5 linked regions of the Ovis aries genome follow. The protein of the gene in region 2 interacts with the protein of the main gene of each other region in a pairwise test. Links are inferred from orthologs where the notes say so. Each region holds a gene or a part of one and is shown on either strand. Other genes may lie near its edges.

Region 1 (5,319 bases), on a different chromosome or scaffold from region 2:
GGAGGCCAGGGCAGTGGAGCTGGAGAGGGACGTGGAGGCCCTTAGGGCTCAGCTTGGGGAGCAGCGTTCCGAGCAGCAGGACAGTGGCCGGGAGCGGGCTCGGGCCCTCAGCGAACTCGGCGAACAGAACCTCCGGCTCAGCCAGCAGCTGGCCCAGGTGGGACGACCCTGACCCTGGGTCCCTTGGCAAGGAGGGGGCGTACGCCCTGTCCTGGTGGGGGTGGGCGCGCTGGGCCGAGTCCTGGTGGCGGTGGTTGCGCTGGCCCAGGCTGGATGGCCCTGACCCTGGGTCTCCCAGCAAGGAGGGGTGGACGTCTGGGGATGGGAGTGCTGGGCCTGTTGCAGTGTGGGCCAGCTGAGGACTCTGATCCCCAACCCCATTCCCAGGCCTCACAGACTGAGCAGGAGCTTCAGCGGGAACTGGACAGCCTTCAAGGGCAGTGCCAGGCTCAGGCCCTGGCTGGGGCAGAGCTGAGGACGCGGCTGGAGAGTCTGCAGGGGGAGGTGAGTGCCAGTTGGGGCCGGGGGTCTGTTAAGTGGGGAAGGCTGGTGTGGGGGCTGTGTAGGCCCCCACAAGGAGGGCAAGGCTGGGCCCTGATGTGCTTTTCCCCAGAATCAGATGCTCCAGAGTCGCCGGCAGGACCTGGAAGCCCAGATTCGAGGTCTGCGTGAGGAGCTGGAGAAGGGACGGGGCAGGCTGCAGGCCACCCATGAGGAGCTGCTGCTGCTGCGGCGGGAGAGGCGGGAGCACGGTCTGGAGGTGACTGGCAGGGCTGGGGTGGGTGGGCGCGTCAGGCTGAGGGCCTGGATCACTGCCTCGGGGCCTCCTGGGAGAAGACCCCAGAGCTGGGTCACTGGGAGCCCTAGCAGCCAGGCCAGAAGGGCAAAGGCATTAGCACAAGGGCAAGTGGGAGCCACAGAGAGACTGAGTCGGGCTGGTGGTTCTAGGATGCATCAGAGACCAGCAACTGGAGGCCAGGGATGGGGCCGAGGCGAGAGCTCACCATCGGAGGTGATGGGGACCTGGACCAGGTCTGGGTGTGAAAACAGAGGAAAGAAAATGGAAGGAGGCAGTATGCCTTGATGTTTGAGATCTTAGGAGCTTGCGCTTGCTTTGAGGTCAGATTACTGGGTTTCTTATCCCAGGGTCCCTCCCTACTATTGTGGGACACCAGCCTCAGTTTCCCCATCTGTGAGATGGGTGGTAATGCTGCATGGCTGCGGGAAGGGTGTGAGACGTTCAGCAGGTCGCCTGGCTGAGAAGAGAGGATCAGTCAGGGCCGAGTGACAACTTTAGTAAGAAGGTGGGCCTGCCGGGTCAGGGACGGGGCGGGGCTTTTCCAGTGATCGGATGGGGCGGGACTGGAGGGTGACTGGAGACTTTGAAATCTGGGTGCTCGTCGGGGCCCTGCTCTGTAGGTGAGGCAAGTGGCATCTGCCGAGGGGTACTGCGGGTCCCACGGCCGCCCCGCGCTGTGGGAGCGAGAGCCAACTTCGGCGCTGGGCGGGGCGGACGCGCGCGGATGCCTGACTCCTGCGGCGCGCTGGCGCCCCCTGTCGGCCGGCGGTGGGGGCATCCGTCTGACGCTCACTGTTTCGCTCTGCTGCCACAGCTGGAACGCGCGAGGTCCGAGACGGAGGAGGCGCTGAGCGCGCTGCGGAGGCTGCAGCAGCGTGTCTCGGAGCTGGAGGAGGAGTCGCGCCTCCAGGACGCCGACCTCTCGGGAGCCTCGCTGCAGTTAGAGCTCGCCCACAGCCTAGACAGCGACCAGGACCAAAACCAGAACACGGACAGAAGCGGAGGTGCTCTGGTGAGCTCTCGGCCCACCAGGCTCCACACTCACCATCCCGGAGGGCTGCAGACTCCGCCCCTCCTTTTTTATCCCTAGAAGGTTTGACACTGCCCTGATCGATTTCTTTGGTGGACAGACCACTCTATCCCCGGAGACCCAAGAAGCATCCAGCCAGCAGTGTTCGCCCCAAGAGGAGAGGTTGGAGCCTCCCAGGAAGGGAGCATCCCTGAGCCCAGAGGAGATATTGGGAGAAGAGGAGGAGGAAGTGGTCCGGTTACAGGTTGAGGTGAGGGAAGCATAGTATTGGATGCAAAGCTCCTCTCAATGTCAGTTTCTCTTTCCCATCTATACTGCCAAGGCTTTGCCCACGAATCCCTCTCTACTTGGATACCCCTTCACAAACTTGCCATCAAGTTTCAACAGCCAGCCTGTATGTCACCTCCAGGAAGACTTCCTGAACTACACTCCCCCTTAAGTCCCATCTCCTCCATGCATCCTTCCTGCAGGCTTAGACCATCCATCTAACCCCGACCCACCCCACCCCGCTAGGCACTCAGAAGATTCATCTCCAGCACAGGACCATTAGCTGTCAGGGTTGTTTGTGGAGCAGGTGGAGATGGGAGGTGGGAGGTGCGCGAAGGCAGCGAATGAGTCTAGACTGCCTGGAAGAGCAAGCGCTGGGACACCCAGGGGCCTAACTGCCTCTTCTGGACTTTGCCCTGCCCGCAGATGGCACTGCAGCAGGCAGAGCTACAGTCCCTGCGGGAGGAACTGCAAAGGCAGAAGGCACTGCGGGTGCAGGACCCCGAGGAGGCCTTAAGCAGCGCCCTCTCAGACCGAGACGAGGCCATGAACAAGTAAGCATCTGCAACCATTCACCACCGCCCCGGGGGCCCTCTGACTTCCCTGGTTTCGTATTAGTGGTCTGACTCCCGCCTGGGTCCAGGAGCCCCCATCACCCCTGCACGCTGAAGCCCCAGCGTCCTCGGACCTGCTCTTTGCCCCTCGCCTGCAGGGTCCTGGAACTGTCCCTGGAGCTCAGCCGCGTTTCTCTGGAGCGGGACTCCCTCTCCCGGGAGCTGCTTCGCACCATCCGCCAGAAGGTGGCGCTGACGCAAGAGCTGGAGGCCTGGCAGGTGAGGGGCGGGGCGCACGGGGCCGACGGGGAGGAGCCGGTGGGGCGGGGCCGAACGCTGACCCGCCCCGCCGGCCCGCCCACAGGACGACATGCAGGTGGTCATCGGCCAGCAGCTGCGCTCGCAACGCCAGCAAGAGCTGAGTGCTGCCGCCTCCGCCCCGCGCCCCGCCCCAACGCGCTTCTCCCTGCGCCTGAGCCCCGGGCCCGCCGGCGGCTTCTTCAGCACCCTCTTCCGAAGGACCTGAGCGCCGGGAACAGGCAGGGCTGGCTTTGCCCTCTTGGCTCACTTTTCTTTTCTGGCCAACAGAGCGATGTGTCCCGACTGTCTGCCAAAGGCGGCTGGTGCCCTCCCCTCCCTTGGAGGCTGGGCAAGGGCTCACTGGGAGCAGGGGCCAGCTTTGGGGTCCAGAGACCCCAGACGGGTGGCAGGGGCATGTGTGGCAGAGCTGTTTATCAAATCTATATAAATCTATCTTTTCTAGGCATTAAGCCCCCTGGCCCTCAGCTGTGGGTCGGGGATGGGGGTGGGTATTTATGTATCAACATCAGACAGAGTAATATATAAATCATTACACTGACTTGGCCTCCATTCTTGGTAAGAAAGCACATTAAAAAAAAACAAAACACTAATTTTATTTGTATAAAAAAAGAAGAAAACACTGTGAACTCCTCAGATGGAGGTGGAGACACTGTTGGAGGTCAGAAGGACAGAGAGAAAGCTCGGTAGCCCAGATTAGTGAAGACATCCACCCTGCAGCTGTTGCCTGCTGCTGTCAGGACCTAGAAACAAGAGGGGAGTGACTGACCTGCCCCAACGCCCTGGCCTCCCAGGGTCCCCACCACCCCTGGCCGGACCCACCTTGCACTCAGGGGCTGCTGGTTGCTGGTTGAGGCTGAGGCTTAGCAGTCCCGGGGAGGAGCCAGGCACTTGGGCCTTGAGCTCCCCACTCAGCTGCCACTGGTTGACACAGCGGCCCTGTCCAGCTGATAGAATCTGTGGAAGACAGGGAGGGAGCTCAGAGTTCAGGCCTGGAGGGGGAGCGCGGCAGGGACAGCAGAAACAAGACAGAGGGCCTCACCAGGTCCTGGTAGAAGGTGACGTGCTTCTGTGGCGCCCGCATGGGGAAGACGGTGGTGGGTGTGGAGGATCGGAGGTGCCAGAGGGTGAGTGCTGGGCCTCCTCCGCAGACCTGGGCAGGAAGTTGGGGGTCCCAAGTTACCGTGAGCCATGGGCCCTCAGCCAGACAGGGCCCGAGCTGCCACCCCAGCCTGCACGCTGCCTGGCTCACCATCCAGTCCGAGTCAGTTGCCAAACATCCGATCCAGCGCCCATTGTGGGGCCTCGAGCACTCCTGGGAGGGGGGAGAACAGAGCGGAAGGTGAAGACACCGGGGATGCCCAGGAAGGAAGGAGGGAGGACAGAACGTGGGGTGTGCCCTCACCTCGTGCTTATAGACCTCGACTGTCTGGACCTCCTTGGCTGTGCGCAGGTCTGCAGAGGAAGAACCTCGAGAGGTATCCTCCTCGCCTCAGGCTCCCTCACCACCAGCCTTCCCTCCGATGTGACACTCCTTACCCCAAAGCCGCACGGCCCCATCCTCGCCGCCCGACAGCACCTCAGGGCTCCGCTCCCGCAGTGCCAAGCAGTGGATGTAGTCCGTGTGGCCCCGGAGGGCCCACTGCAGGGAGAGAGGTAGTGTCAGGACAAGACCCGGGAGGAATGCCGTTGCCCCTGCTCCCCTGGCCCTGCTCTCTCACCATGAAGGTCCCTGTCTCAAGGTCCATTGCATGCAGCTGACAGTCTCCCCCCGCCAGGATGAGCAAATTCTCCTGCAGAGGAAGGTGGGATGGAGTCAGAAGTCAGGGTCAAGTCAGGCCACGGAGAGGGGAAGGATCAAAATCTGGGCCAAAAACAGGACAGGGAAGAGCCCTGAATTTACGAAGGGCTCGAACCTTGGGCACGAGAAGCAGAGCATTGATCTCAGGTACTTCCAGGCTGGTCCTGGGGAAAGGAAAGCAGAGTCAACTCTGGTGAGGTGGCACCTTCACCCCCAGGTGCCCTCTGCTCACAGGGCCTGGCTCACCTGTATGGGGGCTGACGACGCCACAGCTCCTTACAGCCCTTCGTGGAGAGAAATGCTTGTTGTACAATCGCTGAATTGTGTTAGACTCTGTGACCCCATGCACTGGGTGGCCTCAAAGGCTCTCTGTGTCTGGGTACCTCACCCTTCCCCCAGCTCCACACTCACCTTCTTAAGGATCTCCGCCCAAAGCCAGGCCTTCACCTCCCCATCACCAGCACTCAGCAGATGTCGATCAGTGGAGACCATGCTGTAGACGGGCCCATCATGGGCTAAATGGAAGCACAGAACCTGAGTGACCTCGTCC
Region 2 (5,801 bases):
TGAGACAAGTGAACGTGGCTAACACCAGCGTGTGTGGGAATGTCATGCACAAAGGCAAGACCTCGGTCTCATCCTCAGGCTTTTTCCGCACAGTGTCAGCCACTTGCGCCCCACGTCCTCAGTGTCTTTTGTGTCCTAGTTAAGAAACCTCTGTCTACCCTAGGGTCCCAGAGATGGTCTCCTGTGCTTCCATCTAGAAGTTTTGTAGTCTTAACTTTGACATCTAAGCTCTGTGAGGTACCGCAGGTTCATCTTTGTGTAGGATGTAAGTCAAGGTTCACTTTTTCCCCATTTGGAAATCTGTCGCTCCAGGCCCACTTGCTGAAACGAGCTCCCCCACCGCACTGAGTGGCACAGGTGACGGGTCTCTGTTGGGGGCTGCTCTGGACCCTCCATGTTCTCTCTCTGGTCTGTCACACATCTGTCCTAGATCAGAACCACGAGTCTATTTCAGTGTCAAATGTGAACTCAAGGCAGCCTCTGATTGGCTCTGCCTGGCCTACATCAGCCTCCCCACCAATCACAAGCTGGGGGTGGAGCATCCTGATGGGTCACCCGGGCCACCTGCCTGCCCCACTTGTCCAGAAGATGGGGATTGGTTCCCTCCGGGGATCACAGGGTTTTCCAAAGAAGTGAGACTGGACCCTGCCACCACCCTCCCCTGGTCCCCAGAGGGCAGGCTGAGGCCAGGGGACAGGGTGGCCTGTCACCCCGGAGTCGGTGGCAGAGCTGAGTTTAAGCAGGACACCCCCGTCCTTGAACCCACCGTCCGCCGCCCACATCCTGACCTCCCCTTGTCCTCCCTGAAGGGCATCCTGGAGAACATCCAGAGGAACAAGCTGCTCTTCATCGAGACCCAGGATGGGGCTGAGACCAGCGTTGCCCTGGAGAAGTACCAGGAGGTGGGTACTGGGGGGACAAGGGGAGTTTGGGTGGAGAGGGGCCAGAGGCGGCACAGCTCCCTGGTGACGTGTCTGTGTCCTGGCCTTCCCTCCCCAGGCCTGTGAGAACGGCCGCGGGGCCATCCTGCTCTCAGTGGCCCGAGGCAAGGTGTCCGAGGGAATCGACTTTGGTGAGTGGACTTGGCCCTCCCTGCCCGTGTGGCCGTTTCTGTTCCCCGAGGGGACCTCACCCACCCACCCACCATCTTGCACACACAGGGGCCTCCCCTTCCCTCCATCCCTGGGCACCCAGCAGGGCCCTTGGGGACCCCCTCTGACGGCAAGAGCACCTGGGCTCCGCGCAGTCAGCCCTCTCTCGCTCCCCCTCACCCCGCAGTGCACCACTACGGGCGGGCCGTCATCATGTTCGGGGTGCCCTACGTCTACACCCAGAGCCGCATTCTCAAGGTGAGCCTCGCCGGGGACAGGCGGACGGACATGAAGGCCTCCCCTGGGGCTCGTGTGAGAAATGGCCCTGGCCCCCATCTCTGCACCCACAGGCACGGCTGGAATACCTTCGGGACCAGTTCCAGATCCGTGAAAACGACTTTCTCACCTTTGACGCCATGCGCCACGCCGCCCAGTGTGTGGGTCGGGCCATCAGAGGCAAGACGGACTATGGCCTGATGGTCTTCGCTGACAAGGTGCGGTGGGTTCGGGGCCCCCGCCACCCAGAGTGGGAGGGCCGGGCTGCGGGTGCCTGGGCCCTCCCGCCAGGGTCCTGACACCCTCACCACCACCACCACCAGCGGTTTGCTCGGGCTGACAAGCGGGGGAAGCTGCCCCGGTGGATCCAGGAGCACCTCACGGACGCCAACCTCAACCTGACCGTCGACGAGGGGGTCCAGGTCGCCAAGTACTTCCTGAGGCAGATGGCACAGCCCTTCCACCGGGTGAGCCCTCTTCTGGGAAGAGCCCTGGGCTTTCTTCCTGAGCCCCAACCCCAGCCTGCCCCAGAGGGAGGTTTGTGTGCGTGCCACCCCCCAGCCCGTGCCTGGCAGCTGGGGGAGAGCTGAGGGCTCCTGATGCCAGTGTGTCCCCAGCGGGTGCCCCGAGCTGCTCGTGGGGGCTGTGGAAGGCCAGTCCTCCCTGGCTCAGACCTGGCGCTCTGCCACCTCCCTCCCTGGGCCCGTCTTCCGTTCACAGGGACGGGATGACCCGAGTTGACTGGGCATTTCTAGTTCAAGCATCCTGTCCTGGGCCCCTGGGTGGCGCCTCCTGTCACTACTGAGCCCTGTGGGGGGATGTGGGCCAGCTGACACCCCTTCTCCTCACTCCCAGGAGGACCAGCTGGGCCTGTCCCTGCTCAGCCTGGAGCAGCTGGAGTCGGAGGAGACTCTGCGGAGGATCGAGCAGATTGCCCAGCAGCTGTAGCGCCAGGCGGGGCCGTGACACCCGAGTCTTAGCCGGCCTCGGTCCCGGTGCTCAGAGGGGCCTCCGGGAGGGGCCTGGAGGTCCCCACAGGACACCTCAGGAAGACCTTCTAGCTGCCAGATCTACAGCCTTTAATCTCAGGAGTGGAGCTCAGGGAGGCTGGAGCCGTGGGGAGCCATCAGGGAGAGGAGAGGACTCCCTCCCCTTGCCCACCCCTCCCGTTCCTCCTGAGAAGCCGCAGCCACGTGGTCCTGTCGCCTCTAGCGGGGGCCCAGGTCCTGGGTGCTGGTGCTGAGGGTCCGCGAGGCCTCGCTCAGGTGCTGCCTGGGGAACTGGGGACAGGCACGGGGCGGCTGAGGGCAGGACACAGGGCTGCCCCTGCCCAGCGGGGCTATGCTGCCAGCCCATCTTCTTGTCCCTACCCAACTCCAACTCCTCCATCCCCCTGCATCTACCCAAATAAAACCCATCGTGCTCATGTGTGGGGGTCCATTCCAATGCCAGCCTGACCAATGCCAGCTCTTTGTACAGGTCTTCCCCCAGCCTCTGGGCCTGTCCCACCCGACCCAGGGGTCCCCTCACCTGGTTCTCGGGCGCCCTCGAGCCATCCGTGTTCAGCATGCTGAGTGACATGGCCCTCTTCATCCTGCCCAGGAATGGGGCGTGGCAGTGAGTCTGGCTCCCACCCTGGGAGACTCGGGCACCGGGCCTGACAGTTTGTGTCGCAGGGGAGGCGGGAGCCAAGCACGGTCCTCAAGCAGGACAGGGGGAGAGGGGCAGACTCACCCGCTCGCCCCCGCCGCCCCCTCGCCTCGGAGCCGGGAGACCAGCTTCTCGCTTCCACGCCGGATGGACTCCCGGAGCTTAGAGAAGGAGCTGCTCCGACGAAGGGTCTGGGGAGGGCGCCGGGACGCCGGTCAGCCTCCCCTGCCACCCGGGTCGCCCTTCCCCTGGGAGCCCGCACAAAGCCCTCCTCACCTGCTGCTGTGCGTCACTAGTGGTGCCTGTGTTGGGGGCTCCTGGGGACAGATGGGGACATTGTTGGGGGGAACGCTGAGCAGCCCCCGGGGCAGGGGAGGGGCCGGGGGCTCACCGAGCGGGGCGGGCAGGGCCTCCCTGCGGAGGATCTCTTTGTACAGCTCTTCCGCCTGCTGGTACTTGTTCTGCTTCAGGTAGGCTGAGGCCTGCGGGGAGGGCATGGCCTGGGTGATCCTGGCTCATCTAAGCGCTGCACCCGGCACCTCCTTCCCGGCCCCCCAGGAAGCGGCCCGGCCTTATCCCGCACTCCAGGCCCTCAGCCCCGCAGAGTGGGCTTGGAGCTCGAGTCCACTGCTTCCCACAGGGCAGGTGCCCTGCTGGCTCTGAGCAGGGGCCTGCTCCCCAGTCTACCTTGGGCCGGCGACAGCCCTCTCTGCCTCAGTTTCCTCATCTGCACAATGGAGCAGTGGGAGCACCTCCCTCACAAGGCCCTTGAAATGGTCCAGGGAAAGTCCTGAGGAGGGGGCCTGGCTCAACAAATGCTCTCTGCTCCCGGCCAGTGTCTCCGGCTGCCTCTCTGCCTGGAGCAGTTCTCTGGCCCCCACCAACCTGCCAGTTTCCCGACCCTTCCACATCCTCTGAGCTGGCGAGCCTCACTGGTGTGGAAGCCCAGCCCCGTGGGGCACCCTCAAGGGCTGGGTAGAGATGGGGCCCCATCAAGCGATGGGTGCTCGCCCGGTGCTGGGGCCTCAAGACCGAGACCGCCACGCCCCCAGGTGCCCTCACCAAGTTGTTCTTGGTCTTGGCCACGTTGGGGTCATGGGGCCCGCCCAGGGCCTCGTAAATGCTCAGGGCCCGGGCGTAGTGCCGCTCCACCTCCTCGAACTTGCCCTGGTTCTGGCAGAGCAGGGCCAGGTTGTTGAGCTGCTTGGCCACATCCGGGTGGTCGGCGCCCAGGACCTAGGGGTCATGGGTTCACAAGTCATCTGGGGTTGGCAGGCCACGTGTTGCCAGCAGCCATCATGACGAGGCTCATGAGTTGGTAGCTGGAGTCAAGGGTGGTGAGTCAGGGGACTGGGAACTCTAGGTTCAAATTGGTTCTAGGTTCACAATATCACATGGGAAGGGCACAAAAGGTCTGGGGTCACAAAAACAAATCAGGGTCACCCAAGAGCCACAGAGTCCAGGGAAGGGCCATGTGGGGCAGGGCCCCACGGGAGCCAGGCCGGGCAGTACCTTCTCCCGGATCTCCAGGGCACGCTGGCACAGGGGCTCTGCCTCTCGGTAACGCCCGCGCTTCCCGTAGAGGACAGCCAGGTTGTTGAGGGTGGCGGCCACCTGGGGGGTTGGGAGGGGGTCAGGGGAGGGGCGCCCAGCCCACAGCCCCCCGCCCTCCCTCCCGGGCCCCCACTCACCGCAGGGTGCTCGGGGCCCAGTGTCTGCTCCCGGATCTGTAGGGCATCGTGGAGCAGGTCTGTGGCCTCTTTGTACTTGTTCTGGTCTCTGTGGAGCAGCCCCGGGGGGAGGCGGTTAGGCCTGGGGCCGGGGCCCTGGGCTGGGCTGAGCATGGGTGGCGTCCCCCAGGGGTCCCTTCTGGGTGTCCCCACCCCTCCCAGATCTAGCACAGGGTCCCTGCATGCCCGCAGGTGGGTGCCAAGCCTCTGCCGCCCCAGGCCTCCGCCCTACTCTGTTGGGGGTCTCGCCCACGCCAACTCTCTGCCCAGGTCTCTGTGGTCTCCCCAGATCTCCGTCCCCTTCCGCCCCACCCCTGCAGGTACCCTGTGCTGTAGAGCAGGACACAAGGGCCCCCCACTTCTGCCCAACAACGTCCCTCCCTCTGCCCTTCGGCGGCGGCCCCCACCGGTACACCAGCGCCAGGATGTTGAGCATGGTGGCCACGTCGGGGTGGCAGTGGCCCGAGCTCCGCTCCAGGTCCTCCAGGGCCTGGCGGCACAGCGGCACGGCCACCTCGTAGCGGCCCTGGCCCGCGTACTGGATCACCAGGTTGTGCAGGGTCCGGAGGCGGGCTGGGATCTCGTAGCCACCCTGCTGGGCTGCCGCGGCCCCCGCTGCCTCAGGACCTGGGGGTGCATGCGGGGCACCGAGTCACTGCAGGCCTCCTACTGCCCCAGCCCACACACCAGGGGACACATGCCCCCCTAAAGCCACCCCTGGTCCCTGGGACCGCAGGCCCCTGCACTGGTTCCCGAGATGGGAATCCCAGGCATCTCACTGGCCCGTAGGAGGGGGCCTGGCCTGTGGGATGGACGCGCGGGAGCCACCTGGTTCCTGGAGCTGTGGTCGCCATGACAGGCCTGGTTTCCAGCTTTTCCAGCCTCACCTGCTCTGTTACTGCCCGCCCCCCCCTCCCCCGACACACACACACAGCCACCTGCTTCACCCTCCTGACACCTGGCCCTGAGCTGCCCCATCCTCCCCAGAGACCTCGGGGTCCAGCGACTCAGATGCGCTCTCCCCAGCCTCGGCCTCCCATCCTCCATGGCTGAG
Region 3 (6,286 bases), on a different chromosome or scaffold from region 2:
GGGTTATCTGCTTTACCCAGAGTCTTGATTTAAATGTTAATCACATCTTGAGAGTACTTTCACACCCACATTTAACAGGTGTTTGGCCTGAGCACCAGATGACCATAGTGTTACCGTGAGAGAGCAGAGAAGAGACTGGTTCAGTGTAAGTGATAACCTCTCTTCTGACTGATTTCCTCTGCCTTGAACTACACACTGGAATTTGTACCCTGTCTGTCAAATCAGCTTGAGATTATAGGTGTGTAGATAAAGTCATCCTTCGGCTTACACTGGCTTATACCCATTAAACTGAGATAACACTTGCTTGATGAAATCATTGAGCCTTAAGCATAAAGCCCCAAGGAAGCTTGCTTGCACCACCTTCAACTGATAGAATCTTACATGACAAGAACTTTGCTGCTTGTTATTTGCAGCATTTAAAATACTATTTTGTTCAACATGGCCCTGAAATGTAAGCCAGCTTTAGGAATTTGGGGGCAAGATTATGCCTAGAAATACTGAAGAAGTAGGAAAATTCAGAGAGTGTTACTCAAACTGTACTTTTGTTAAAGGATTTGTATGGATTTACATATCCATCTTTGAAATGTATAACTACATGAGTATAGTTATATGCTATATAAATGTATAACTACCTGCCCATAGCATGAGTTGATGTAAATGGGGGTTGAAATTAAGCAGGTGCTTATCAACCATGTTAATGATTTTCCTCTGTATTCTAAGAGCCATGGAAAGCTATTTAGGCTTTAAGCAGGGTGGTGATGTGGTCATTATTATTAAACTGGTATTAATTATAGTTACTAAATAGGCAAAAAAGAGACTATTTACAAGACTATTAAAAAGTCTGTGGTGTGAGAATGGATGAGAAAGGGGGAAAAATAGATGACGGTAAGGCCAGGATCCTCTTAGAATTGGCAAAACAAAGATGGCTAGGTTTAGAAGGAATATTGTGAATTCATTGTTGATTATGTTGATTTTTGAAGTCCCTCTGATGGGATTGTCAAATATGCGTTTGGATGTATGTGGTTCTAAACCAGAGATGTAAAGTTGGGAGATGGCAGCATTAATTGAAGCCGAGTATAGGTAATTTGTTGGAGAAGGAAATGGCAACCCTCTCTAGTGTTCTTGCCTGGAGAATCCCAGGGACGGCAGAGCCTGGTGGGCTGCTGTCTGTGGGGTCACATAGAGACAGACACGACTGAAGTGACTTAGCATAGGTAATTTGAGAGCCTAGGACTGGCAGAGACTAAGAAGACATGGCTAGAGAGGTAGAAAAAAGGGGAACTAGGAAAAGATGCCGTAGAAGGGGCCAACGGGAAGCTTGTTTAAGCGAGGGGAAAAGTGGTCAAAGTGCTGAGTGCTGCTACATAATTAAGACTGAAAAAGTGCCCATTAGATTCATTGACTGGCGTAATTTTAAGTTAGAGCTGTTTTGGCCTAGAGATGTGCTCAAGCTGGGATGAAGTAGGCTGAGAAGTGTGAGATGTGGTTATTAAGAAGCTACTTTAAGAAATTTAACTGTGGAGGGGAGTAGAGATATCGGGCAACAGTTGGGAGGAAAGATATGGCCTGTGGATGGGAGAGATCTGAGTGAGTGTAAATGTTGACGGCATCCAGTAAAGAACATCAAGTGGAAAACCTCAAATAAGGAAGGAAGCATCTGTGTTAAGGGTCCTGCTAGGACTGCATCTTGATCCTGAGGACAGGCACCTTGGCTGGCCTGTCACGATGGAACACCTGTCTATAGGAGTACTAGGGGTGAAGGAGATAGAGTACCAGTATTTATTTTTCTTAAGTTCCTATTGTAGTCATCAGTGTCCAAACAGGAAACAGAAAGTGCATTGTTGTTCAGTCGCTAAGTTGTGTCCGACTTTTATTTCTGAACTTATTTTCCTCTTCCTATTTTTTACAATAAAGCCTTCAAAAAGAAGACCAAGTTTCTTAAACTGACAGTAATGATAATAATTTTAAGAAACACTTTTTCCCCTGTATTACCTTATAGATGAAGACATAATAAAATAATGCTGAAAAGTATGGGTATAGAATTTGGTTGTTTTAAAACACTTGAAAAAGTATAGCAGTATTTTTGACCTTTACTGACCTCTAATTCAGAGTGGACTCTGTAGGATTTACATCCGATGCAACTGGTATTATTACTCATTAGCTTTAAAAAAAAAAATTCAACTACTGAAGCAGAAAGGATTTAATTTGAAGTATGAGGAAAATGTTATTTTGAATTTTGACACTTTAACCTTCATTATTTACAGTGTTTTGGGTTTTTGACCTAGGAACATTTTAAGGAAGAGCCAAATTATCTTTTAATTTTATCTCATATGATTGTCTATTTTTGCTGCTTAAGGGAACAAAAACTAACCTGTATAAATTCTGTTAAAACCTACCAGAATTTTGGTAATAGCCCTTTCTTAAATTCTTTAGAAAAAGTATTTTTCTTGAAATCTTTGCCATTTCTCTATAGGAGAGGATAGATTTTTAAGACTAATGGACTCATGAAATACAAGGAAGACTCTGAACACATTTCTGTGTGAGCCATCTTAAGTTCAGTCACAGGAATGTTTGCTGTGTGCAGTGCCAGTCCCCACCAGCTATCCCCAGGTGGTGTGTTCTCAGAGTCGAATCTAGGGCTGATGGAATAGATAACCGTCAAGCTTTTGTTGAGCTAGATGATGATTAGTTTGAAGTTCATTACTGTGACATTCTTACTAATTTAGTGGTTGTTCCTGAGTAATTTTCCTGTTGGTTTTTCAGGACTGCAGGAATATGTGGAGGCTGTCTCTTTTCAACACTTCATCAAAACACGATCACTTATCAGTATGGATGAAATTAATAAACAGTTGATTTTTTCAACAGAAGACAATGGGAAAGAAAATAAGACTGTAAGAATTTAAAATCATATTTCACATTTATTACATAGTTTACACAGCAGCGTGATGATTGTAGGAGATTCATTGGCTTATAATGCAAAGAATATTGAGATGAAAATGTTCTTTCTAAAGTGTGATTTCATAGATTCCCAACTAGGGAAATGGTCTTTCTAAATGCATTAGTTAGTGGCTCAGCACCTGTGGGTAGGTGGGGGGAGCAGCACCCGTTTATGTGAGCATTGTGGAGCGGCCCTTGTGTAAGCCCACTCTTAGTTTCCTGTGTATCTGCCAGTGCCCTGTATAAATACTGTCTCATTCAATCCTTTTATTAAACTTACGAGGTAAGAATTACTACCCTCATTTCACATACGGCTTTTGCAGAGTCCAAGTGACTTTTCAAGCCCTAGTCACGCACGTGTGCAGCTGACTTGGGAGCCAGGTGTCCTGAACCCAAAGCCAGGAGCGCCCTCGCCACTCTCCCAGTGTTTCTCGCCATGGGCCACGGGGCCCTGTGCCAGGCATCTACCTCAAAGGGGTGTTTTAAAGGATTTGAGTTAGAGACTTTAAATTAGGTAGCATACAGTACATGCCACATAGGTGCTCAGTAGTTAGCAGTCATTATAAGGGCCAATGTAATATGATACAGTGAGAGATGTTGATTTAATCACTGAGTTCATAATGCTTGTATCTGAAATAGTGTAATTCAACTTTTAAACAAGTACTGTTTTTTTCCCCTGAGTTTCAAGATATAATATTCAGGCCATGAGATAAAATTTTGAGTATTAGATAGTCTCCTAAGATATTAATACACTTAAAGGTACAGTTAAACAGTTTTTTTTCTTTTCTTTATTTTTCACCAGTTTCTCTTTCATTATTATTTTAAAAAATCAGGTAGGCAGAAAGTGGAAGAAGGTATGGAAATCATATTTTCTTGAATGTTAATAAAATATTAATACTAAAAAGTGAGATAAGTTGGCATGACAGGTGTAGCTTACGTCAAGGAAACCATATATTTTCTCAATTTTAAAAATTAAGTGAATTTTATTGAGGAAATTCATCTTGAGAAGTAAAATTCTTTCATATTTTTAGTTCATTTAGTAAAGATTGAATTACAGAAAGAAGTAAGGGGCGCCTATGTGACCCTGCTTCTTAAATATATTAGGCAAATTATGATACTTTCCTTTCGATTCTCTGTAATTCAGAATGGAAGTATCAAGGGCAAGAAAGTAAAGAGAAATGGGAGTAAATGCTCTGTTCTGAGGATTTATGTAGTAAATTATTCTAAGATTAGGATGTCATAATCATACACGTGTCTTCTCAAAATGTTAAGACCACATTCATAAATAATATTTCCTTTCAGTGCTAGAGATTCATCTTGGTGCTAAAAATTCTGGAAATCCAATAAGGGAAGGTATTTTGCTCTGACTTGCATATTGAGAGTAGTGTCAAACCATTTAATTCTTTAAAACTTATTCGGAAAAATTCAAATGCACAAGAAAAGTGGAGAGAATAGTAATACATGATCTGGAGTCAATAATTGTTAATATTTTGTCTTATTTGCTTCATCTAAATGTTTTTTGCTCAATTAGTTTAAGATATAGGTATCCTGATAGTTTTCCCCTAAATACTTCAAGTCCATTGTGAAAAATTGCATTTTAAGTAATTTTATTTTCCCTGGTTTCTAATATATATTATCAGTAAAGCAGAATTTATTTCCTTGACAGTTTGTTGATTTTTTTAACATGCTTTTTTCTTCAAAGTAACTTTGTAGTTATATTCAGGGAACTCCTTCTAATGATGGAAACAAAGAGCAGTAATGTTTTCTTAAGCAAAAATTATTTGTATAAATGACTTATAAATACACCAGCCACTTCCCCACCCCCCCACCACTCCCACCATAATCTATTCTTTCCAAAAAGATGTCAGTTCTCTTAACAGTTAATAGAAATGAAATATAGCAGGTCAGGCTAATTGGGGAGCTGACTTTGGATACTTACCAAGTTCTAACCATTAACTAGTGATACTACCTGCAGTGTTTCTGGGACCTCATTTCTCATATTCCATATTGAGAAGATTGGAACATATGGTCTCTGAAAAGTCCAACAGTGTTAGGAGTCATGTCCTGGATACAAAGCCACCAGATCATCTATAAGACCTAAGTTTGACTCTGTCATTTGCTCACTTAATTCTCAATGTCTCTATTACCTGTAGGTAAAGTTCCAGTTTCTTACTGTGGCTTTCTCCCCTTGCTCTATCCCTTGTTCTGGCTTTCTAGACTCATCCCATACTACTTCTTACTTGAAATTTTACTCTAAAGAAATACCGCACTAGTTCCTCAAGTACACAGCACAATTCTCATCTGCATTCTGTTGCAGTTCCTTCTGCCTGAAATGTCCTTCAGTGTAATTGCAGCCCACCTAAGTCTCATCAGACTTTCAATAACAGTTCAGACATCTCCTCTTTCAGAAAGAACCCGTTAGAGAGAAGTTGATGTGGAGAGAGGAGATTGGTGTGGTGACGGTAATGGTGATAGCAGCTAACATTTATTGAGTATTTACTTTGTGTTGGGCACTATGCCAAGAACTTGGTAAATGTTATCTCATCCTTAAAAATAAACCTCTGAGGTAGGTACTGTTATCCCATTTTACAGATGAGGAAACTGAGGTTTAGAGAGATGAAATAACTTGCCCAAGGGCATACACCTTATGAAGCAAGGTCCTGGAAGAGGTGGGAGGAGATGGGTCAAGGTCATTTGGAAGAGTTAACCTCAAACAAGAGGAGGGACAACTCATCATCTGAGACTGAAGGATAGAAGGTAAAGATGGATGTGGACATAAATAAGTTTTTTTGTTTTGTTTCGTTTTGTTTTTAGGGATAAGGTAATTAAGAGAGCTTATGGCAGGGGATCTGGCAAATAACCAAGCCAGTGAAAGGAGGCAAGATTGTTTACTGAGAGTGAAGAGGTTTGGGATTGAGTAAGGGGCTGAGGAGAAAAGTAGTGAAGGTTTGAAATAGTGTCCAAAGAGACGGGCGAGAGCCATCTACGAAATAAGTGAAAGGATTGGTGAGTAATTTGTAGTGGTACAAACGCTATACAGTTGTGATCATTATTATTATTTTTTAGCCTAGTGGTACTCAGTACTTGAATAAAGAACTAACAAGAATAGTTTTTAATACTGATTCAGGGTGTGTTTTTGCTGGGCAGGTGCAGTAGAAAGATAGGAGTCTGAGGAAACTGAGGAGGATATAGCAAGAGAGTGTTAGATCATGATGGTCAGTGCTGAGCGGGGACGGAGAGGCCAGAAAGGGACTAAGTGACTGAGAAAATCATGACTGGATCATAAACCTGGAGGGCTTTATGATTTGCCATTTAAATATGTAAGTCATTGTCATGGGATGAAGTCACT
Region 4 (6,286 bases), on a different chromosome or scaffold from region 2:
TCATTTTTGTGTATTGCTTGATTCAGCTTGCAAAGATTTCACTTAACAATTTTTGTGACTTCGTCCTTAAGCAATCTTGGTTTGTAATTTTCTCACAATGTCTCATTTTGGTATTATGGTTTTGTTTGACCTCATAAAATTAGTTGGGAGGATTCCTTCTGTTTTCTGAAAGACCTTGTGTAAGAATAGTTTTATTTCCTCCTTAAATGTTTGATAGAGTTCAAATTTGATAGATGCTATCTGGGACTGAAGTTTTCTTTAAGTATATAGTGTTTAATTATAAGTTCAGTTTATTTATAACAGAGATTCAGCTACTCAGATTATCTGTTTTTCTTGTGTCTTTAGAGATGTCCCCTCTTGCATTCCTGATACTAATAAATTGTATCTGTGCTCTTTTTAAAACTATCAACCTATATATCACTTTATAAATTTTATAGATTAAAAAAATATTTGGAAATTAAACCTGCTGACCCCCCCAAAATAAATAAATAAATAAAAATTAAAAAAATAAATCTTTATAAAAACTTTTATTTTCTATTTCATTGACTTTCCACTTCATCTTTATTATTTCCTTCCTTCTACTAATGTAGGATTTAATTTGCTATTTTTTCCCTATCTTTGGATGTTGGAAACTTAGATTATTGATTTTAGAACTTTATTATTTCTTTTTAAATGTGATCTATTGTGATTAAAAACTATCAATTTCCCTCTAAACTGTGCTTTACCTGCATCCCACAGGTTTTGCCACTTTATATTTTCATTCTTTCAACTAAAAATATTTTTTAAGTTCCCTATTCCCTAATTTTCTCCAAGTTCTCTGTATGCTTTAGTCCTTTGATAGCTGCTTTTCTATGTTATAGTTAGAGGGTGAGTCAATAAGTAGGTTTGATCACCCTGTAATAACACCTTGTTTATTTAATATGTTTCACTGATGATTTTTTCCATAGTAGAAAAGTTATATAAAGATACATAGAAGATTTTGTTCCATTGATCTGATATCTTTTTTTGCACAGTTTGTTTTTGAAAAGTATTTTCTCTTGTTTTTTTTTGCATTTAAAGCACCTAAAGTATGTGCATGTTTTTTATGTGTTTCTTACGACAATTTGTGTTGTGCTTTGAATTCTCAGAAATTGTATTATTCTTGAGCAGTCGGCTTCACTTGCCAAATTTAGGTTTTGTTTTTTTCCTTTCCAGGCCCAGCTTCAAAGGGAAAAAGAACAGGATCATATGAAGCTTCATGCAAAACTTGAAAAGCTTGATGTCTTAGAAAAAGAATGTTTTAAACTTACAACAACTCAGAAAACTGCTGAGGTAAGCTTCAACTTATTTCTTTGAAGTGGTGATACCAGGAATAAATCTTCAGTGTTCAGTGTAATTACCCTGCATATGAATATACAATAAAATTAGATTTGTAAAACTTCATTAATAGCTTTTAGTAATCCAGATATGACTTATTGCCTATAGATCACAGCATAAATGAGTTTGCTTTTTGATGTGAAATTGTAGTTTTACCTTCTTCTGCAGTGGTAGAATATTTTCATTTGTTAGGTGATTTACCTAAAGGATATTGAAAAGGTAGCCTTTCACCACTTGCAAGTAAGTTATGCCTATTCTAGATCCTATCCTGAAATGCCCTCTCCTTTTCCAAGTGAATCCCATCCATTTTGTAGGATTCTCCCATTCCTGCTTCCTCTATGAAGCCTTCCTTGAGATTTTGAACACTCAGGAAGTTCTCCCTTTGAGATAGTACTGTCTTCCTATTCCAAACTATACCATGGATATAAGATGAAATACATTTGTGTATAACGTTATACATATATATTCATGACCTGGGATCAAATCGTATTGTTTCATGTATATTAGTCTTGTTTCCCCTGTGGCTTAGATGGTAAAGAGTCTGCCTGCAGTGCAATCCCTGAGTCAGGAAGATCCCCTGGAGAAGGAAATGACAACCCACTCTGGTATTCTTACCTGGAAAATCCCATGGACAGGGGAGCGTGGCAGGCTACAGTCCATGAGGTTGCAAAGAGTCAGACATGACTGAGCGATTTCACTTTCACTGTTCCCTAAGTACAGCATAGTCTTTTATTGTAAGTTGTCTATATTTTAAATGAAACATTGAGACCCAGGACTATATAGTTTGACCTTCTAGACCTTTAAAACCTCCCAAATTTTCAGTATTATGATTTTGTTAATTAAAATTAATAGAGCCTATGCATGTAAATTCTTTACTTCTCCTTTGTCCTTCTTACATAAAGTAGGTAAAGAATCATACAAAGAAAGCTAAGGAAAACTTAGCATCTTTTGCCATTCCTTTTTCTTACTTTCTGCTTTAATTTACCAAACTATTAAGAATCAAGACGCTGAGGGCTCTATTTGGAAAAGGAATAAAAGATATTTAGCTCTAGTTTTTGTAAAATAATCCCAGTTTTTCAATTCTTTTGTAGGACAAGATTAAACATTTAGAGGAAAAACTAAAGGAAGAAGAACATCAGCGTAAACTCTTTCAAGATAAAGCTTCTCAGGTAAACAGAAAACTGTATTATCTGGCACTTTAAAATCACATATGTTTTATTATACTTTATTAACTGAAACCTTACCCTGGACTCTAATTTCTGCTTCCTAACTTATCAGTTTTGTCTTTTTTTGCTATAATAATGAAATTTCAGTAAGTCAGCAAGTATATTCATAGACTCGGATGTATTGCCAAAGATCTTTTGGTCTTCTGAAATTCTGAGAAACATACATATATTCTCAGTTGAAAGAACTCATGCTATCAATTGTTTTCAGTTTGAGATATATAAAATAACTCATTCTGTTATAAACAGAAAATGATTGTAATTACCAGTAGACTTGGTGACTTTAACACAAAAAAAATAATATTTGGGATTTTCTTCTTCAAAAAACATTTTTATATCAATCTCATTATAATGTTTTTGAAGAAAAAGAAATTTGTTAAAAGTCAAGTAATAGTAAAGGTTTTTTTTTTTCACTATTATAGCTTCAAACTGGACTTGAAATCAGTAGAATTTTAATGTCTTCAGTAACAAATCCAAGGCACTTCAAGGAAAAGAAGAAATCTTCAAAGGTATGCAAATACTTTATTCTTATTTGCTAGTGCTTATTTCTTCATCCTTTTAGTAATTATACCTGTGCATTTTAAAAAAAGAATTTGAAAATATTTATAATATAAGACATGAAATAATTCTATGAAATGGACCTAAAAACATAAGTCAAGTAATGATGGTTTGGGGTATGAGGACAGAAAATTCCATAAAACCTAGGTTGAAGAAAGTAGCAGCATTTGAGCACAAAACCTAGCTCTGAGTTTGCTTGACACCCAAAGCAAAAAGAGACATATAATGGGCAATACATCTAAATTTGTGAAATAACAATAAGCATTCTAATTTTTCTAGAAAGGTAAACATATTGCTAGTACTAAATGTTAAAGAAATGTATTTTGGATACTTTTTAAAAGAAGCACTAAACAATACAATAGATACAACACAATAGATTCTGGAAGCAGTTTTATATAATACATGCACAATAAAAAGACAAGATATACTATTAAATTATATTGTATTATAAATTATAATATTAAATTATAATTATAGTCATTTCTCTAGAGAAATTATTTACTTTTTTATGCTAATATCCTTAGGACTTGCCTAAAGATTGGGGAATGAGTGCTTTATAGCTTTACCAATAATAATTTTCTTGATAAATTGATGTTTTGAATTTATTATATTAAACTTTTTTATTTATAATGGTAAAGAAAATGTTAGTCCCTTTTAATCTTATGATTCTGAAATTATAGTTTTGATGACCATTATTACTATTTATTCAATATGCATGTAGTGTTTCTGTGTGCTATTTGCTGTACAAACCGAGCATGCTATTTGTGAGTTCTGGCCACTGCCATAGGTTCACCCTGTGGATACAATAATGGAGGAAACAGTATACTTAACTTTAGCTAGTTGTTTATTCCATAAATAAGAATTCAGGGGAAAAAAAAGAGAATTCAGTAGTTTGGCTGCATTTTTCACAGATTAGTTTCTTTCAAAGAATTTGCAAACTATAGTAATGAAGACTATTTTCCCAATGCCGTTTATATTGATTTTTTTAGTTTATTTCCTTCCTTAAGTATGTTTTGTGTCTTATCTCCACAGTAAGATTAGAAGCTGCAAAGCCAAATAGAGAATCACTATAAGTAATTTATACAAGTGGAAAAATACTGACTTATTTTTGTAGTTATGTTTTATGACATCCTTTGAAGATCTGGTGGAAAAGATTTTTTTAATAAGGTACAGGGAAAAACAAGGTAAAAGAAATGAAGGAAAGAAAAGGTAGCTCCTGGAAGAAAAGAAAAAATAATTGACAGCAAAACCACTTTATAAAAGCAGTTAGCTTAAGTTCCAAGTTCATAGATCTGTAAGTAATAATGCCTCCTTTTAAAGGTAACAGGAGCACTGTTGCTAAAGGTAGTATCTGAGTTTTTTTAAGAGACCTCTGTGAGATTCCTGCTTGTCTCACTGACACTTACTCCATATCCTGGACATAGTTCATTCAACTCATATGTCTTGATTTACATAGATTAGTACCTTTAGGTATTAAAAAGATAACACAGGAATTTACAGAGAAGCAGACAAAAATACAAATATAAGACAGAGTGTGCTAAAAACCTAATAAAACTATAAACAAAGTATTCTGGTGCTGTACACATAAAAAATATGTGAAAAGATCACACAAGAAGTAGTAAAGGCAGACTTGGAAAATGAGTAAGTATTGATAGAGATGAGGCGAGGTGTGTTATAGTCTGAGAGTATAGTTAATTTTTACATGAAACTGTAAATAATTGTCTAGTACTAGTACCATATGAGACCTGAAAATATAGCCTGAAGTGAGATTATGACTGATCTTCAGTGCCATGTTAAGAATTTGAACTTTTGTTCTATAAATCATTGCAAACCATTGAAGGCTTATAGAGACATGATTAGAGCTATACTTCTAGACAGTTACCAACAACAGCATAAGGTGAGCTTGGAAGTAAAGAATCAGACTGTTTGAATATTGTAAGCAAGATAATGGAAGCCTGTCCTGTGAGGTTTTCATTATTCTTTTGAAAGGATAGATTGTAATTATCAGTCAGAAATCTCATTCAGTATAACAACTAAAAAAAATTACATTTCTTTTGTTCTAATTTAACTGCTTAAAATAGACTTTGATCAGACCATCATTTTCTATTACTTGAAATTATCACTCCTAAGGTACAGAGCTTGAATGATTGTCCAGGATCACCAGGAAAATCTGAGTGAATAAGTACTGACTCACAAATGTGTGATATCTCTACCTCTAAGCCATTTAATTTTTTTAATTTAAAAAAATTAATGTTTATGATAGTTAAGATACCTAAATTTTCCTTTAAAATTGGGAATATTTTGTTTTCTTTTTATTATGGAATATGCTCAGCTTATTGATTATTCTCTTGCTAAAGTGTTAAATAGAGTGACCAAGTCACTCCAGTTTGCCTATGACTGTACTGGTTTTAGTACTGAAGATCCTGTATCATGGGCAGATTGAGACAATTGGTCACCCTAGTTCAATCCATCCGACAAAAATAGTGAAATCATTTACTTTTAAGAATGTAGCTTCAGTTCAGTTCAGTTCAGTCGATCAGTCATGTCCGACTCTTTGCGACCTTAGCAGTGTCTTTTTAAAAATGATTCACGAAGGAGTACATATTGATTTGGCCAAAGAGTTCGTTTGGGTTTTTCCATAAAATGTTACTGAAAAACCTGAAGAAACTTCTTGGCCAACCTAATATAATAAAAAATGTCTGCTCAAAGGATAATAATGACATTAACACTGGTACTCACCACACAGCTCAAGAAATAGAACATTACCAGCACTGTTAAGGCCCAGTGTGTACCTTTCTTAAATTGTATTCCCTCCATCCAAGGAGTAACCACAATTCTGATTTTGTTTTTATCATTCTCCTGGTTTTTAAAAAAAATTACTTTGCCAAATAAGCATTTATAAGAAATATATTTGTTAGGTTTACACTTGAACTTTATATAAATGGGCTTACTGTATTTGTGTTCTTCAGCAGCTGTCTTTTTCCACTCAACATTAAGTTTATGAGATTCTTCCAACTGATGCATATATGAATGGTTCACTGCTTTTTATTGCTAAAAATTTCTTTTTCCCTTCTCCTTTCAGTGATCATTTGGTTTGTTTCTCACTTTTTGTTATTATAAACAACACTGTTATGAACATTCTTGTACAT
Region 5 (6,807 bases), on a different chromosome or scaffold from region 2:
ATACTTCAAAGATACATACACCCCAATGTTCACTGCAGCACTATTTACAACAGTTAAGATATGGGAGCAATCCAAATGTCCATCAACAGAGGAATTTAAAAAGAATATGTGGTACACATATACAGTGGAATATAACTCAGCCATAGCCAGGTGGCTCAGTGGTAAAGAACCCGCCTGACAATGCAGGAGGCATAAGAGACATAAGTGATATAAGAGAAGTGAAGTGAAGTGAAGCCTCTGTCGTGTCCGACTCTTTGCGACCCCATGGACTGTAGCCTACCAGGCTTCTCTGTCCAGGGGATCCTCCAGCCAAGAATACTGGAGTGGGTTGCCATTTCCTTCTCCAGGAGATCTTCCTGAACCAGGGATTGAACCTGGGTCTTCCACATAGTAGGCAGATGCTTTACTGTCTGAGCCACCAGGGAAGTGAGTTGGGTCACTTCTTCGGTCAGGAAGAGGCACTGGAGAAGAAAATGGCAACCCACTCCAGTATTCTTGCCTGGAAAATTCCATGGACAGAGGAGCCTGGCGGACTATAGTCCACATGGTCACAAAAGAGTTGCACATGACTTAGCAACTAAACAAAAACCAAATATTCCATTTATAGCAACATGAATGGACCTAAAGATTAACATACTAAGTGAAGTCAGAGAAAGACAAATATCATATGATATCACTTCTACGTGGAATCTAAAAAATTACACAAATGAACTTATTTACAAAACAGAAACAGACTCACAGACTTAGAAAACAACCTTCTGATTAAGAGAGGGGAAAGGTGGGGAATGAGGGATAAACTAAGTTAGGATTAAAGTATACACACTACTGTATGTAGATAAACAATAAGGACCTACTGTATAACACAGGAAACTTGAGTTAATACTCTGTGATAACCTACATGGGAAAAGAATGTGAAAAAGAATAGATATATGTATGCTGCTGCTGCTGCTAAGTCGCTTCAGTCGTCTCCGACTCTGTGCGACCCCATAGACGGCAGTCCACCAGGCTCCCCTGTCCCTGGGATTCTCCAGGCAAGAACACTGGAGTGGGTTGCCACTTCCTTCTTTGATGTGTGAAAGTAAAAAGTGAAAGTGAAGTCGCTCAGTCGTGTCCGACTCCTCGTGACCCCATAGATGGCAGCCTACCAGGCTCCCCCGTCCCTGGGATTTTCCAGGCAAGAGTACTGGGGTGGGTTGCCATTGCCTTCTCCAAGATATATGTATAACTAAATCACTTTGCTGAAACGTAACACTGTAATCAAATATACTCCAATTAAAAAAGAAAGAGGATAGAAACAATTACAGAGACAGCATATACAAATCCATATAGCCAAAAAGTTTTAACCACCTGTTTTTCCTCAACAATACCCTATCACAGTACAAACACACAGAAATACACAAGCACATACACAAACATCCGAATCAAAGACATGGGAACCCAGAGGGAAAGTAATTTTTTTCTTTCCCTATAAAATGAGAATGTCATGACATATCCAGCAGACCTCAAAATTCTTTTGATATGAAATGATTTTTGAAACATTGTGTAAGATACAATGTAAGAATTCATAATTTAATGAGTTTGTTGAAAAATATGTGACAAAACAAATATTGATGCATAAATTATATATATAACTAAGGTGCATTTTTGAGTAAAGTGGATAGAGAATTGAGGTAAATATTTATAAGTGGTTATAAGCTACCTTGTAAGATTAATCTTTATAAACTCTTGTAAGTTAGCTACAGGACTTTATACTTCATTACTACTAAAACTTACCACAACAGATCTTGGCATTGCTGGCTTAAACACGGAACAGAATTCCAATAATCTTTTCTCATAATATTTGCAGAGCGTTATTTCTTCATGAGGCTCAAGAAAGACTGGGTCATTTGGAAGAACCTTTAGATCAAAAGTTAGAACAAAAATAAATATCTAATAAATTAGATAATATTTCTCTGCGCAGATTTAATTAAGCTTTTATCTCTAACCAAAGGGAAATGTACCTCATTTTTTTAAAATAGAATTGCTGCTGCTGCTAAGTCACTTCAGTCTTGAACGACTCTGGGCGACCCCACAGACGGCAGCCAACCAGGCTCCCCTGTCCCTGGGATTCTCCAGGCAAGAACACTGAAGTGGGTTGCCATTTCCTTCTCCAATAGAATTGCTGCTGCTGCTGCGAGGTAGCTTCAGTCGTGTCCAACTCTGCGACCCCATAGATGGCAGCCCACCAGGCTCCCCCTTCCCTAGGATTCTCCAGGCAAGAACACTGGAGTGGGTTGCCACTTCCTTCTCCAATGCATGAAAGAGAAAAGTGAAAGTGAAGTCGCTCAGTTGTGTCCGACTCTTAGGGACCCCATGGACTGCAGCCCACTAGGCTCCTGTGTCTAATATTACACAAAAATAAGTTTTAAAAATAGTCAGTAAACTATAAACTGTGCCACAACTGCATAACTTCTCAGAATGTCAGCTGAATATTTGCTTCACTAAGGTATAAGCAAATGTGGGGAGCGTGTGTATACATTCACAAGTTTGATGTCACTTTTACACATCAAAAGGAAGAAACCATCAATGGTTGGAGAACTTTCAATAGTCCTTTCTCAGTTATTGAGTCACAGAGGTTGAAGTAAAAATCAAGTGTCTCAAGGATAATTCTGACCCTTAACATATTACCTCTTCTGCATCTCTACAAAATTTCTACAAAATACACTGTAGGGTTAATAAATGCTACAATTTTACTACAAAAATATCTATTTGGTGCCACTACTGGTTTAATTACAACTGCCAAAAAAAGGTATGTTGAGTCCTAACCCCAGTACCTCAGAATGTGAGAAAATAAGGTCTTTGCAGATACAATTAGTTAAGATGAGGTCCTACTGAAGTAGAAGTGGCTTCTAATCCAGTATGACTGGTAGCTTTGTAAGAAGAACATATAAAGAGACACAGGGAGAACACTCTGGAACAAGCAGGTAGAGGCTGGAGTTGGCTGCCACAAGTGGAAAAGACACCTGGGGTTACCAGAAGCTGAAGAGGAAAGGGTCTCGAAGTTGCAGAGAGCACTACTCCACAAACACCTTGGTCTCACACTTCTCGACTCCAGAACTCAATAAATCTCTGCTGTGTTAAGTAACCTAGTGTATGGCATTGTGGCCGGCCTAGGAAACTACCACAGGTGAGGCTCATTTTATAGAGACAGCATGGCATTGCGATTCACAGGAGGACAGCTGAAACGAGAGTCCATGGGTTCAAATCCTGGCTCTGCCACTTACTAGCGATATAGCCTGAGAAGTTATTCAACCTCTCTGTACTTCAGTGTCCTCAGATGTAATGCAAGGATAATAACAGTATCTACCTCATGGGGTAGTTGTGAGGGTTATATGAGCTAACAGTTGCCAAATATTGAAAATTTAGCAAACGAAGTACTAGTCTGTACAGCACAAAAAATAAAATGATATGAAGTAAACGTTACAGGTAAAAGTAAAGCTGGAAGGGCGTGACTGACAGACTCTAGTCCAAACCTTCTGTGGTCAATTGGTTTGTGCTAACGGTGTCTCATCCCCCTTCCTCTGCCCTGCCCCATCCAATCAATCCATTCCTTCCCAGAAAGCTCTTTCTAGAACAGAATCTGACAAGATTAATTTCCCATTTAGAATCTTTCTAAGCTTTCCCATCTGTCCATCACAGAGTTCAAACTACTTACTTCCGCTTACAAGTTCCCTGCCTGCGTTCTCCAGCCTTTCAAACACTGCTTCCGCCACACACGATCGAGAGCGTTCCAGAGACCAGCTCTGCGATTTCTGAACTCCTTTGCACCTGTGGCTCTGTCCGCTGGGAAAGTCCTTTCCCCATCTTCTCCACACCAGCCACTAAGAGAAACCTACCCCCGGTACATTAGCATCCTACAAAGTGTCTTCTTGGCCTTGTTACTGACTATACAGTCCGCCGCTCGACTGCGGGGATGGACGGCCTTGTCCGTCTCCTTACCCACTGTACCTGGCAAGGTGCTCGCTGTTGATTAGATGGATAAACGCACTCGGCGCCGAGGAGGCGGGAGGGAGGTGTGGGGTAAGTCCTGGGGGAGGGGGGGACAGGCAAGAGTTTACAGAGCCCGAGGCCGAAGGGCGGCAGCCCGAGCCCTCACCTTCCCGTTCGCCACCGCTTTGCATTTGAATTTGCGGTTGGCGTCGGCCCGCAACCGCGCCAGCTGCTCCTCGCTGGCGAAAGTCCAGTGCCTCTTCTGGCTACTGTTGTGGTACATCGGGAAATCGGAGGCGAGGCCCAGCGAGTCTCGGGAGAGAAGACCGAGAACTGTACAAACCCTGACGTAAAGCACCTAAGACGCCTCCAGGATCCCGCGGAACCCAAGTCGGGACAGCCCGGCGCGGGGGCGATGACGTCAACCTCACGTGGTAGTTCCGTCCCCAGTCGCGTTTCCGGAGCGGATTGGGAGGAGAATGGCTCCGGGCTGCTCCGGACGGCGCCTGCGACTTAAGTGGGCGTGACCCACAGAAGCCGCTCCTCCTTTCCGAGAGCCTGGGCCCTAGCTCCGCCCCTTCCCGACAAGATTTAAAGGAGAAGCGAGGCGGAGGGCTGTTCAAAAGGGAACTATCAATAAATGTAGGGCTTGTGGAGGCTAACCTGAACAATTTAACGTGGGACGATCAGAAGTGAGGAAAGGACTTGGGAGGGTATCAACTTTTAAATAGGATGGTTCAGAGGAGGCCTCAGTAAAAAGGTGACATTCTGAGCAAAGTTTTGAAAGAGTTGGGTGGGGCTAACAATTACATGGGTATGACATGGGGGCAGATCAGATTGAACAGCCAAGATCGCAAAGCAGAAGCATTCTTGGTTCTTTTAAGAAAGTATCTCTGGAGCGGTACCAAATTCTTGGCTTCAGAGAGACAGGAACATGGTTGGAAAACTAGAAGCAGTGCGTAGGTATTGCTCTTTACTATTCTGACCCTAAATATGTCCCTGTCTTATTCTTCCTGCAGTGAATACCTAGTTTCTCTAAAACAGAATACTACTAAAGGACAAGAAGAAAGAGCATTTAAAAAATATCCTCAATCTAAATTTAACTCTCCCAAAATTCAAACACTTTTTCTTTTATATTTTAGGACTATTGAAAATTAAGATGTAAAGACAATATATTGTGGAGCAAATTCTAAAAATCCATGTTCAATTCAAAATGTCATATTAAATCACTGTACTGAAGATTTGATACTAATTGTTAGGTGGTGGTGATGATGGCAATGGGGACACAAAAATGGCTATTTCACAGTCCTACCTCAGGGTCCTTAGAGTATAGTAGAATGATTATGACATGGACAAATACTGTCCCTTCTCAATGATAATAACTTTGAGTAGGGTCCAGTAGGGAACTAGGTAATATCTCTTATTCCTGAGTGCTGATACCTCTTACTAGTGTAGATACTACCCTTTAGTGACTTGAAACCAATGGAAGACCCATAGTTCATTCAGCCCCAACTAGGGACCATTCAGTCCAAAAGGCTTAGCAGCTTTTCTGCTAACTAGGAGTATGTCATCAACATAAAGGTAATTCCTGTGGCTTTAAAAAAAATTACTGTTAATTCTTCCCAAAACAAATTAACAGAGTTGGCCTCTGTTACAATCATGATTGGGACTAATCTGTCACTACCTTATCCTTTTATTATACTAATTAATCAAGAGTGAATAGAATTATTATATAAAGTATCATATGGTCACTTCCAACACAATTTTACAGCAATTTACTAAGATGGAATACTAGACCACCTTACCTGCTTCCTGAGAAATCTGTATACAGGTCAAGAAGCAACAGTTAAAACTAGACATGGAACAACAGACTGATTCTAAATTAGAAAAGGAGTATGTCAAGGCTGTATACTGTCACCCTGCTAATTTAACTTCTATGCAGAGTACATCATGCAAAATGCCAGACTAGATGAAGCACAAGGTAGAATCAAGATTGCTGGGAGAAATATCAATAACCTCAGATATGCAGATGACACCATCCTTATGGCAGAAAGCAAAGAAGAACTAAAGACCCTCTTGATGAAAATCAAACAGGAGAGTGAAAAAGTTGGTTTAAAGCTCAACATTCAGAAAACTAAGATCATGGCATCCAGTCCCATCACTTCATGTCAAATAGGGGAAACAGTGGAAAAAGTGAGAGACTTTATTTTGGGGGGGCTCCAAAATCACTGCAGATGGTAACTGCAGCCATGAAATTAAAAGACACTTGCTCATTGGAAGAAAAGCTATGACCAACCTAGACAGCATATTAAAAAGCAGATATTACTTTGCCAACAAAAGTTCATCTAGTCAAAGCTATGGTTTTTCCAGTAGTCATGTATGGATGTGAGAGTTGGACTATAAACAAAGCTGAGCACCAAAGAATTAGTGCTTTTGAACTGTGGTGCTGGAGAAGACTCCTGCTAGTCCATTTGACAGCAAGGAGATCAAACCAGTCAATCCTAAAGGAAATTATTCCTGAATATTCACTGAAAGGGCTGATGCTGAAACTGAAACTCCAATACTTTGGCCACCTGATGTGAAGAACTGACTCATTGGAAAAGATCCTGATGCTGGGAAAGATTGAAAGTGGGAGGAGAAGGGGACGACAGAGGATGAGATGGTTGGATGGCATCACCGACTCAATGCACATGAGTTTGAGTTAGCTCCGGGAGTTGGTGATGGACAGGAAGCCTGGCGTGCTGTAGTCCATGGGGTCTCAAAGAGTCAGACATGACTAAGTGACTGAACTGAACTGAATAAGATGGAAAGCTCTCATTTGTGATTTAGTAGACCTGC

What was found.
Region 1: the proteins of KLC3 (region 2) and BICDL2 interact in binary tests that used the Homo sapiens proteins (3 or more experiments, as listed by UniProt). The two-hybrid records come from large-scale screens. The link is inferred for Ovis aries from reciprocal best matches to the Homo sapiens genes KLC3 and BICDL2.
Region 3: the proteins of KLC3 (region 2) and TSNAX interact in binary tests that used the Homo sapiens proteins (3 or more experiments, as listed by UniProt). The two-hybrid records come from large-scale screens. The link is inferred for Ovis aries from reciprocal best matches to the Homo sapiens genes KLC3 and TSNAX.
Region 4: the proteins of KLC3 (region 2) and CEP57L1 interact in binary tests that used the Homo sapiens proteins (3 or more experiments, as listed by UniProt). The two-hybrid records come from large-scale screens. The link is inferred for Ovis aries from reciprocal best matches to the Homo sapiens genes KLC3 and CEP57L1.
Region 5: the proteins of KLC3 (region 2) and CCNH interact in binary tests that used the Homo sapiens proteins (3 or more experiments, as listed by UniProt). The two-hybrid records come from large-scale screens. The link is inferred for Ovis aries from reciprocal best matches to the Homo sapiens genes KLC3 and CCNH.

The regions. Positions count from the first base shown.
Region 1 is NC_056077.1:2,941,157-2,946,475, reverse strand, and holds the end of BICDL2 (BICD family-like cargo adapter 2), read left to right. Parts: coding exon 1-157; intron 158-387; coding exon 388-504; intron 505-613; coding exon 614-760; intron 761-1,613; coding exon 1,614-1,811; intron 1,812-1,929; coding exon 1,930-2,079; intron 2,080-2,522; coding exon 2,523-2,650; intron 2,651-2,808; coding exon 2,809-2,929; intron 2,930-3,014; coding exon 3,015-3,176; 3' UTR 3,177-3,509; downstream 3,510-5,319. Other genes in the region: THOC6 (THO complex subunit 6 homolog), read right to left, coding at 3,631-3,711, 3,791-3,925, 4,011-4,121, 4,221-4,283, 4,374-4,423, 4,508-4,610, 4,690-4,761, 4,885-4,933 and 2 more.
Region 2 is NC_056067.1:52,765,143-52,770,943, reverse strand, and holds the end of KLC3 (kinesin light chain 3), read right to left. Parts: intron 5,375-5,801; coding exon 5,155-5,374; intron 4,797-5,154; coding exon 4,709-4,796; intron 4,632-4,708; coding exon 4,530-4,631; intron 4,254-4,529; coding exon 4,080-4,253; intron 3,500-4,079; coding exon 3,409-3,499; intron 3,335-3,408; coding exon 3,294-3,334; intron 3,209-3,293; coding exon 3,102-3,208; intron 2,962-3,101; coding exon 2,898-2,961; intron 2,794-2,897; exon of another isoform or gene 2,648-2,793; coding exon 2,576-2,647; 3' UTR 2,423-2,575; downstream 1-2,422. Other genes in the region: ERCC2 (general transcription and DNA repair factor IIH helicase subunit XPD), read left to right, coding at 810-902, 1,000-1,072, 1,279-1,349, 1,442-1,585, 1,691-1,834, 2,223-2,315. UniProt on the Homo sapiens protein: Kinesin is a microtubule-associated force-producing protein that may play a role in organelle transport. Plays a role during spermiogenesis in the development of the sperm tail midpiece and in the normal function of spermatozoa.
Region 3 is NC_056078.1:3,728,322-3,734,607, forward strand, and holds part of TSNAX (translin-associated protein X), read left to right. Parts: intron 1-2,763; coding exon 2,764-2,891; intron 2,892-5,529; coding exon of another isoform or gene 5,530-5,562; exon of another isoform or gene 5,563-6,286.
Region 4 is NC_056061.1:28,292,816-28,299,101, reverse strand, and holds part of CEP57L1 (centrosomal protein CEP57L1), read left to right. Parts: intron 1-1,194; coding exon 1,195-1,311; intron 1,312-2,447; coding exon 2,448-2,525; intron 2,526-3,001; coding exon 3,002-3,088; intron 3,089-6,286. UniProt on the Homo sapiens protein: Centrosomal protein which may be required for microtubule attachment to centrosomes.
Region 5 is NC_056058.1:84,677,419-84,684,225, forward strand, and holds the start of CCNH (cyclin-H), read right to left. Parts: upstream 4,363-6,807; 5' UTR 4,253-4,362; coding exon 4,136-4,252; intron 1,897-4,135; coding exon 1,774-1,896; intron 1-1,773. UniProt on the Homo sapiens protein: Regulates CDK7, the catalytic subunit of the CDK-activating kinase (CAK) enzymatic complex. CAK activates the cyclin-associated kinases CDK1, CDK2, CDK4 and CDK6 by threonine phosphorylation.